Linked DNA regions of Daphnia pulex. The protein of the gene in region 3 binds, or shares a complex with, the protein of the main gene of each other region. Links are inferred from orthologs where the notes say so. Each region holds a gene or a part of one and is shown on either strand. Other genes may lie near its edges. The genes, in order: eukaryotic translation initiation factor 3 subunit K-like, eukaryotic translation initiation factor 3 subunit M-like and eukaryotic translation initiation factor 3 subunit I-like.

Region 1 (3,054 bases), on a different chromosome or scaffold from region 3:
AAGAAAGCCTTTAAACTTTAATGAAGTTACTTTTAGATATTCTGGAGGTATCACTTTTGAAGGAGGAGTTCTTCCCCTTCTCAAAAAATTTGGGAATTCCTTGACAAAATTAGAACTTGACGTTTTCTTCCTTGACTTAGACATTTTAACCATAATGCAATTTTGCCACAAGCTTCAATACCTTTGCCTTCATATGCGCAGCAAATTTGATCGTTGGCCTAAAGAAGAAGAACAAAAATCGGGAAATAAAAGGGAAATTCCTATCTTAAAACATCTGGAAGAATTGATGTTATGTTCTGATGATTCGCTTCATTCCTTTGTCCCCGCAGAAATTGTGTTAATCTTATTGTCTTCTCCGTTACTATCATTCATTTCCATAAAACTTTTGAATAACCTAACTGACAAAATCATACGAAAAGCAACGCATGTCAATTCCTTTCGTCATCTTGAGAGATTGTGGTTAACTCACTGTAACGAAGTAACTAAATACGGTGTGAACCTTTTTTTACAACAGAATATCCCTCTAAAGAAACTGATTTTGGAACGTTGCGATAAGATAACGTTTGAAGATTCCATCGAATGGGAAGAAACTTTGACCAAGAACAATTGGGAACTTGAATTAGAAATACGTCACCCTTACTAATTATTAGTTAAAAAAATAAAAAGGTACAATGTAATACATTTTTTATGATAAAACCACTCAATTACCGCCGGTAATTAGCCTAATATCGGTAATTTACCGGTACTGTTTTTTTTTAATTATTCTTGAGTAACAACACGAGGAAATCTCATATGTTCTCTCTCGGTATCTTATAAAGGTGGCATTTTGATGTTTGCTCGGAATTCCTCGGGGAAATAGGGTTCATAGAGCATGTTTGAGCAACCATTATTAAAATTAGTTACTGATGGCAGCAAGTAACAGTTATTAGTTTTTATTTTTTGTCGTCTTTTTTAATCATTTGAATTTTGACCATCGCCTAATCTGCTAAGTGCTAAGTGTACCGTGAAAATATCTTCTGTCAAAGATTTTTCAAAGATTTAAATGTCAGCTACATCTTCAACTTTTAAAATTGGCGGAAATTCGAATCACTTTCATTGGTTGAAAGAAGCTCCACAGCTCCACCCGCTCCACCTACCAAGGAGCGGAGTTATTTTCCGACTGAGGGGTTTATGAGGGTTTTCGCCCTAAATTATAGCTCAAAAAAAAATCGTTCTATTTGTTTCATTCTCGACTTTTATCGCAGAGTGAAAATGGAAAGTTTCCACTCCTTCACTTAGCTGATAATGCTTTAAATGGCAACAGAGCCTCTTAGGCCGAAAGCGTCTGCTAAAGCCACATTTCCGTCATCCGTCAAAGTCTAGTTACTGATTGTTAACAATTTCAATAACAGTTCATTATAATGGCCGAAAAGATGAAAACAGAAATCGCTTCTATGCTACAAGGAATTGAAAGGTAAGAGAAAATAATCTGAAAAAGTTAACCCCATCTGCATAGTTGAGGAACACTGTAATGAACAATGGCGGTTTGTTCTCTTATTTCTAGGTACAATCCCGACAATCTTCAGAAGCTAGAACGCTATGTTGAACTGCAAGCACAAGAAAATATGTATGACCTAGAGGCCAACCTAAGTGTGTTGCGATTGTACCAATTTGGCCCAAATTTCTACCGCAGTAACATTGTTAATCTGATCCTACTGAAGGCAATGACCAATTTACCTCACACAGACTTCTTGCTGTGCAAATGCCTTTTGACTCAAGATAGGGTATGTAATATGATTGTTTAATCTAATATATTTAATAGGAATTAATTTTTTTACTTTTCAGTTGGAAGAACCTCAAGTGAGCAGAGTAATGGTCCTAGCTGATTTGCTGGAAACGTGCAAATTCAAGCAGTTTTGGGAGGAATTGGCCAAATGTGGTGACCTAATTATTACTGTTCAAGGATTTGAAGATGCTATTAGGAAGTTTGTTGCTCATGTTGTCAACATTACCTATCAAACTATTGAAGTTCCGGTATTAAAAGAACTTCTTGGCAATGTCAACGGTAATGGCAATATTATCCATGTATTCCCTCTTAACATGGTTTTCGACATTTTAATTTTAAAAACCTCTCTTTTCAGATCAAGTTTTGAAACAATGGGTCGGGAAGTGCAGCTGGAAGGACCTGGGCAACGGCCGTGTGTTCATCACGTCGCAAGAAGATTTGGTCAAGACCAAAAACATCACTGAGAAGATCGAATTTGAAAACGTGGCTGGAATCATGTCACACTGCATTTAAAAGTGAAACTGTCTTTGACCGATCTGCAAACAGGAAGAAAGAAAAACCAACAAACAAACAATTCCAAGGGCAGTGTATTTCTGTTTTGTAACAGCTTCATATACACAATTGTCATGTTTGAATTTGATGATCGTTAAACCACCCAAGCAGTGAATCCCATCGCCGTATTTACACCCGGAATCTGTTTTCCTCTCAAGCAGCATCTAATTAAAAGTTCTGAAATTCGATTCTGCTTTGGCCGATATGGTGTGGGCATGTGCCTCTACATTGACAAGTGAATTGGTGGATGTTTTAAATGATTAGCGGGACATTGAAAAAACAAAGAAAAACCATTTTCATTCGCTTCAAAAACGGATGCTGAATCCGCGGAACTCGGGCCGTGCAAGGTATTCCCAATTGCGAAGCTCGGTGTGGTCGATCTTGCATCCGGGGCTACCTGTCCTCGTCAGCCATTGTGCCCTGTGGAGGAAAAAGGTTTGGAACAACAATTTTAATTATTTCTAGTAGTAGAACTCGTTAAACACACAGACGAATCCGCTTTGGCACCGAGCGCATGACGGGTCAGGAAGATTCTAAAAGTAGCTTGTTTCTCCTCGCTCTACAGAGGACGAGCCCAGCATAGTTAAGGTATTTAACGACGTGTCCTGCCCAAACCATGACTCGTGTGCCTTATCTAGAACCTCGAATGGGCTCGATGCCAATCGTCATTTCGTCGTTTAAATCGTTCGGAGCTGCTCCTGCTTCTGCACCCTACGTTCTAAATCTGTAAATTGCTA
Region 2 (3,370 bases), about 3.0 Mb from region 3:
TTTAAATAAATATGTCATTCATGAATGTAAGTAAATTTTAAAACTAAATATTAGACATATTGTGTAATGCTATACAGGCTGAAAGCCAGTTGCTTCCAGAACTTCCACTTGCTCATATACATACCTTGTTGTATATTACTTTTACTATAAGTGAACAACTCGGACATGTGGCTTCCTCTTCCCCATTTTCTAGCTGTTCCTGTTGAAATAAAAGTAAACCTTTTAATAAGCTTGGAATCTGAGTAAGGAATGGGGACGTCACATTACTTTGGTGATTTCAAACCGATCTCCACAAGGGCAAGGATAGAAGTAAATTTCACTGTCCGAATCATATTCAAAATCTTCGATTTCAACTTCATCGTGATAGACAGACATTTTCACCAAAAATTCTGAGTAATAAATAAAAGATTTTTCTCAACTACTGAAACAAAAATGTGTGGATCTTCAAAAGACAACACGTGAGAAAAAGAGACATCTGCCGGCCAAAAATCAGACTACCTGAATTAACTCACGTTTACACGTTGCATATAATAAGCATAATAAAAAAAGAATTTTTTTTTTATCTCCTACCCTACTTTCAAACAACAGTATGTTGGAAACAAAACAGAAATAATGATCAAAGTCTGATTTTGTCAGATAATGTGCCGGCGTCATCGTTTATTTCCACAAAACCTTAATAGAGATGGATAGCGGGATAATTTGAAGTCTTTTGTTTCTTCTCTAATCGGTTCAGGATTGCTGAGCGAGAAGTTCGGCTTGCTCGTTAACGATGGTTAGCATGGAATCTTTGACCTGTCTGAGGTGGCCTCGCCAAGTAGTCAGCAACTCACGCAACTGCTGCCAGTGCTGCTTGCCGAATGTCCGATGCATGGTTGATGAAACAAGCACTTTCTTGTTCAACTGATCCATTCGTGCGCGCACCAATTTCGTCTTAAGGACTTGAAGGACAAATTCCTCTACTTGATCTTCGGTTAGTTGTAATTGCTTCTCGAGCGTTTCGAAAGGGAGCTCTACGGAATTTTCAGCCAACTGCATGAAAGTCAAAATTCGCATTTTTCGAAGGTTCTGCTCATGTTTCAGACCTAAAAATCATTGTTACTTAAAATTCTTAAAAAAATACTTAAAAATTTCCAGTAAATACCTAGTCCTTCAACAAAATCTTTCTTTTCCTCATAAAACTTCAAATAAGCTGACAGCTTTTCCGTCACGAATACGGTCAACAGATCGTGCAAAAGGGCACCTTCCAAAACTGTACACAAAAATTAATTAATAACTGATTTAACTTCAAAGTAATTTTTATAAACCTTTCACAGGTTGCAAAGTCAATAAATGATCGAGAAGGAAAGTGTTGGGATCAGCCAATGAAGCAACAATGCAGCGTTGAGCTTCCTCACGAGCCTGTGAAGCATTTTCGGTCGTGTAAGTGCTCAACAACTCCACCATCACTTTGGAGGCCAGTTCACTGAATAATAACACTGGTTTGATTTATTGTTACAATTATTTGTTTAACTTCAATACTTTACCTTTCTCTGGAGTTGAGGAGAGCTTCATGTAAACTTCGGAGGAGTTTTTGCATCTGCTCGTTGTTAGGTTTGCATGGCCCTAGTTGAGTACGCATTTTATCTAGATCCGTGAACACTGTCTTCATCTGTTCCACTTGTCCAGCAACTTGGACTAGCGTGTGATAGACCGTGTAACGCGTTGTACTCACAGGATCAAGCCCATGAAATAGTACAGACAGACTAAAGAATCAAAATTATAGTTAGACAATTCATTATGTAAACTTCAAATTTCAAATGCTCACACTCTCAGACAAACAAGTCCCAACTTGTTTGAGGGGGGTTTTGCAAGCTTTTGGCAAAACGTAGTAATTATTGGTTCAGCTTTTTCATTGGGGAGAAGAACGAGCATAGATACAATGCTATTCAAGACTCCCTCAGATTCCACTTCATTGCCCTCCTTCAAAGAAGAAAATAGTGTAAACACACACTACTAATTGAAATAAAATTGTCACTTACTTTGAAACAGAGATCTGCAACAGCAACAATGTTGCTAAGATCTGAGTTTTGATCATCATCCACATTTGATGCTCCAAGAGCCTTGAAATAGCTACACAATTCAGTAGCCTAAAAAGACAGATATGAATACAATGACCAATTCAAAGCCTTGATGTCTTAAATTTTGTCTCAGTACTATATAACAGTTATTTGCTTTCTCCAGGTGGTAAAACAGGTATAAAAATTAGAAATACTAGTAGGGAAAATTGTCTATAACACAGAAAGGTGTACGCTACTGGCAGACTCCACACTTCATCGCCACAACAGTTTAGCATCTACCGGACTAAATTTATGGGGAAACTAACCTGTTCTTCGACCGTTAAATCGATAAATGCTGGTAAACTCATCCTGATAAATTGTTCAAAACAAACTGGAAAAAAAGATTCCTTTATTAGAAGTTGCTTGTCAAAAAAATCCGGATATAGGCCACGCTCACGATCCCGGTACAGAAGTTCGTCTGTAATGGCGACATTGCCACCGTGTTCCCCTACAGATAAATCAACGATTTTTTTTTTTTTTTAATTCTTTGTTTCAACACTTTCACGCTTTCCAAAATTTTCTAAAACCAGTTCTTGATTTTTTAAAATTATTATTAAAAAAATTACTACCTTTTAAAATTGCAGCATAAAAGATCACCACATTTGTTATCGCTGTTATCGGCTCACTCGCAATTTCTATCTAACTTGACGTGTTGCGGTGTTGGAAGAAACAAACCGAATACACCGTCAAAGGTACGCACCGGTTTCGGATTCATTTGATCGTTATCATTCGAACCAGCATTTATTTTTCAAATTTATTAATTGTTAACTTCCTTATAACGTTAAAGTTAACTGGTGACATTCACAAATCTGTTAACGTGCAAATCGCAAAAATATATAATAGTTGGAGTGGTTGGCAATTTAGGTAGAAGATAGAAGTAAGTAAGACATTTTAACTATTGCATCAGACATTTCAAAATATTAATGACTAGATTTTACTTACAGAGTGAGAAGTTTCGAAGGGATAAATAATAATTTTTGGAACACATTGAGAAATTGGTTGTACCTTGTTCACCTATTATGTCTGAAGCCCCCTTAAACAACAGCAGCATGGAGCTGAAGATTTACAATAGTCTGACTCGTAAGAAGGAGGTGTTTACTCCTCAGAATGGGAAAAATATCACCTGGTATTCTTGCGGACCAACAGTCTATGATGCATCCCACATGGGACATGCCCGTTCATACATGTCTTTTGATATCCTGAGAAGGGTCTTAAGAGACTACTTTGGATATGACATTACTTATGTAATGAATATCACTGATATTGACGACAAA
Region 3 (3,050 bases):
TAGACGTCTAATTTTATACCTTGTTGATTCCGGTTGATTCCGAGCGAACTTGCCATCGCGTTCAGTTGCAATAAAGGAAGTAGTTTCAATAGCAATCATCCTCATTGAAACGTCGGAGTCGTCGATCAAGTTGAACATCGTATTTGTAAAGTTCGGATATCTGGCTAATACATCCGGTTGAAAATGAGCCAGCGAACCGATAAATTTCATAAGCCCGGGAACGAGCAGGCGAGGCAAGAGGATCTGCAGGAGCCTCGTCCAAATTACCGGCGAGCTTCTCAATGATTCCTTGTCGCTCGAGATAGTCCCGACCATGTTGGCAAGACGCTAGAGTCGTAATAAGTTCCAATGCGTTCAGCTGGGACAAGAATGTCTCCCATTAAAACTTCTACCAGAAGGAAACTGATGAGCTCTTTCTCTTCGCAAAATGCCAAGTTTTCTTGGGATGCGCAACAGTAGGTGATTAGAATATCGTAAACCCTGTAATGGACTTCGTCAGAAGAAAAAGATTTCAAAAGAATTGTTTGTAAACAATATCAGTTATGTTTTCTCCTCTTAAACAGGCGACTCGAACCTGTTTGTATACGCTTAATTTCGTCTCGTGCCCTCTCTTGAGAAATAAATTTTCCCCCCAAAAAAGATTCTCACTCGAGACCTTTCCAACATGATGTATTCAAATACCTTCTCTTATATCGCCCATGTACACGAAAGTGGTCAAAAAATAAACACAAGACAAGTGTTCATAGATGATGGATTGGGTTCTTCGTAGGTTTTTCGCTTTTCTTCTGGTTTAGTAATCGAATTTAAAGTCAAAGTAAGACTGGTCGAATTGATTCAAACGAACGTAACCATCTTCACCACCACTGGCGTACGTCTTTCCGTCGGGATGGAAGGCCAGAGAATTGATAGGACCGAAATGGCCCTTGACACGAGCGAATTCTTCTTCGAAAACCAGATGGAAGAAACGGGCGTCGAACTTGCCGACACGCGTTGAGGTCGTCGTTACGTCCATGGCATCTTGACCACCTCCCAACACCACCTGAAGATTGAAGGAAAACAGTTAGAATCGATCAACTGAATCATTTAGAAGCTCAAGGATCATACGTGATCCATGATGGGTGAGATGGCGGCACTGTTGACGGGTCGCTCAGTTTTGTAAGTTTTTAGGCACTCTAACGTTTCGGCGTTAAAGAGTTTTGCAGTGCAATCCTTGGATGCAGTGATGAGGAGAGCTCCGTCTTTGGACAGCTGCATGTCGTTGATAGACTTGGCGTGTTCTGAAACCAGGTTGTTCTTCTTGCCAGTTCTGTAGTATAAATAATAAACAGGATTTAGTTTTAAGCACTCAAGGTTACGACAATGTCATTCTCACCTGAGGTCCCATTGGGCCAAGTCACCATTGTCGTGACCAGAAATAACAACCTCATCTAGATTACCCCAAACCATTGATGTGGCTTTAGGGGCATTAGTTAATGGAATTCGCAGGATGGGGTCATTTTCACTGAAGGAAGAGTCAACCGTTCTGACATCAATGATGAAGATCTCTGAAGGGTTACCCATAGTACTGTCTGTTGAGTAAAGGGCCATGTTTCCACTGTAACTGAAGTTGCATGTACGAACTGAAGTCTTGGCTTCAATTTTACCCAAAGCCTTGCCTAAAAAAAAACAAAGAAAAGTTTAAGTCGTAATTACGCAATGGGGTCATTTCTCACTGAACATACCAGTTTGGACATCCCAGATCATGAGCATATTATCACCAGCACCAGACATGAAACGTTTAGTTTCCCAATCAACATCAATCGCCCATACGACACCCTGATGTCCCTCGTAGGTACCCAATCGTTCTCCATTGACTGAATACCAGACACAAGGGTGGTTGTCCTTGGCTGACGAGAAGAGCAAATCTCCATCCCGGTTGTACTTAATTTGCGTGATTGAACGCTCGTGACCGTGAAGCATAAGAGGTTTCTGTGATCAACAATAACAGTGGATTAATATAATGAAATTAAATAACAGAAATGCACTGAAAATTACCATTTTTGTTTATATTAATTGGTCACAACTGTAATAATGACGTACACTTCTTTCGGCGTGGGGCGACTGAGGCCTTTCGACGTTTTTACAACACTCGTCTGCCGGCCCTGCTCGATTTTACAGTGTTGCCACCCACCCACCAAAAAACGAACCATCTTTAATCTTATCAAAACTGTTAAACTTTATACAAAAAAAAAAAAAATTAATTTTTATTCTTTAATCACGCGTAACGTTAAAATGACACTAGCAAAAATAATTTTACTTTTCGATTTGTTTCAGAGGGCGCTACTCGCTAGGGAAGTTAAAGCAGTTTTAACATCGTCTGCTATTCTCATTCAACTATTTTGGCGGGTTCCCTCACATTGCGTGTTCCTTCACATTGCGTGTGTCTCGTGGAACACAATTACCAAAATTATTTATCTAGAATGGTGAATTTGGTTTTAAATAATGTTCCCATTGAATTTCCATTCCAGCCTTATGATGTACAAGAGAAATTCATGGAGCGTGTGATAGAATGTCTTCAAAAAGTAACTAGTGTTGCGTTATCGGTCAGTGGACACCTTGCTCTTATTTTGTTATTCTTGATTAAATAGGGTGTAAATGGTTTGTTGGAATCTCCTACTGGCACAGGAAAAACTTTGTGCTTACTTTGTTCGACATTGGGTTGGTTAGCAACACGAAAAGCACAAATACAGTCTGGTCAATTAGCTGGAGATATGGGAGTGGATATTAAAAATCAATTAAGTAATGCAACTGGGCTTGGATGGGGAGATGCTGCTACTCCTGGAGCTGGAGTACCCAAAATCATTTATGCATCCAGAACTCATTCTCAGCTCAGCCAGGTCATTTCTGAATTAAAACGGTCCTCTTACAGATATATGAAGGTGAGCATTTCCTTCTTCCATTAAAGCTATTTGCCTACATGAAATGGGTTTTGATAACCCTTATTTTATTTTTCTTCATTTAAGGTATGCATCCTTGGATCTCGTGACCAACTGTGCATTCATCCAGAAGTG

What was found.
Region 1: eukaryotic translation initiation factor 3 subunit I-like (region 3) and eukaryotic translation initiation factor 3 subunit K-like share a complex: the UniProt entries of both Caenorhabditis elegans proteins name them as parts of the eukaryotic translation initiation factor 3 (eIF-3) complex. The link is inferred for Daphnia pulex from reciprocal best matches to the Caenorhabditis elegans genes eif-3.I and eif-3.K.
Region 2: eukaryotic translation initiation factor 3 subunit I-like (region 3) and eukaryotic translation initiation factor 3 subunit M-like share a complex: the UniProt entries of both Caenorhabditis elegans proteins name them as parts of the eukaryotic translation initiation factor 3 (eIF-3) complex. The link is inferred for Daphnia pulex from reciprocal best matches to the Caenorhabditis elegans genes eif-3.I and cif-1.

What each region holds. Positions count from the first base shown.
Region 1 is NC_060028.1:2,216,426-2,219,479, reverse strand, and holds eukaryotic translation initiation factor 3 subunit K-like, read left to right. Parts: upstream 1-1,291; 5' UTR 1,292-1,400; coding exon 1,401-1,453; intron 1,454-1,543; coding exon 1,544-1,763; intron 1,764-1,824; coding exon 1,825-2,044; intron 2,045-2,120; coding exon 2,121-2,278; 3' UTR 2,279-2,400; downstream 2,401-3,054. Other genes in the region: uncharacterized protein LOC124209413, read left to right, coding at 1-643; acylphosphatase-2-like, read right to left, coding at 2,623-2,737. UniProt on the Caenorhabditis elegans protein: Component of the eukaryotic translation initiation factor 3 (eIF-3) complex, which is involved in protein synthesis of a specialized repertoire of mRNAs and, together with other initiation factors, stimulates binding of mRNA and methionyl-tRNAi to the 40S ribosome.
Region 2 is NC_060019.1:9,159,470-9,162,839, forward strand, and holds eukaryotic translation initiation factor 3 subunit M-like, read right to left. Parts: upstream 2,544-3,370; 5' UTR 2,405-2,543; coding exon 2,363-2,404; intron 2,127-2,362; coding exon 2,019-2,126; intron 1,960-2,018; coding exon 1,805-1,959; intron 1,743-1,804; coding exon 1,524-1,742; intron 1,463-1,523; coding exon 1,305-1,462; intron 1,250-1,304; coding exon 1,142-1,249; intron 1,083-1,141; coding exon 730-1,082; 3' UTR 628-729; downstream 1-627. Other genes in the region: DPH3 homolog, read right to left, coding at 125-199, 268-375; cysteine--tRNA ligase, cytoplasmic-like, read left to right, coding at 3,116-3,370. UniProt on the Caenorhabditis elegans protein: Component of the eukaryotic translation initiation factor 3 (eIF-3) complex, which is involved in protein synthesis of a specialized repertoire of mRNAs and, together with other initiation factors, stimulates binding of mRNA and methionyl-tRNAi to the 40S ribosome.
Region 3 is NC_060019.1:6,193,140-6,196,189, forward strand, and holds eukaryotic translation initiation factor 3 subunit I-like, read right to left. Parts: upstream 2,185-3,050; 5' UTR 2,038-2,184; coding exon 2,035-2,037; intron 1,969-2,034; coding exon 1,722-1,968; intron 1,656-1,721; coding exon 1,373-1,655; intron 1,307-1,372; coding exon 1,105-1,306; intron 1,040-1,104; coding exon 791-1,039; 3' UTR 653-790; downstream 1-652. Other genes in the region: regulator of telomere elongation helicase 1 homolog, read left to right, coding at 2,460-2,561, 2,628-2,918, 3,003-3,050. UniProt on the Caenorhabditis elegans protein: Component of the eukaryotic translation initiation factor 3 (eIF-3) complex, which is involved in protein synthesis of a specialized repertoire of mRNAs and, together with other initiation factors, stimulates binding of mRNA and methionyl-tRNAi to the 40S ribosome.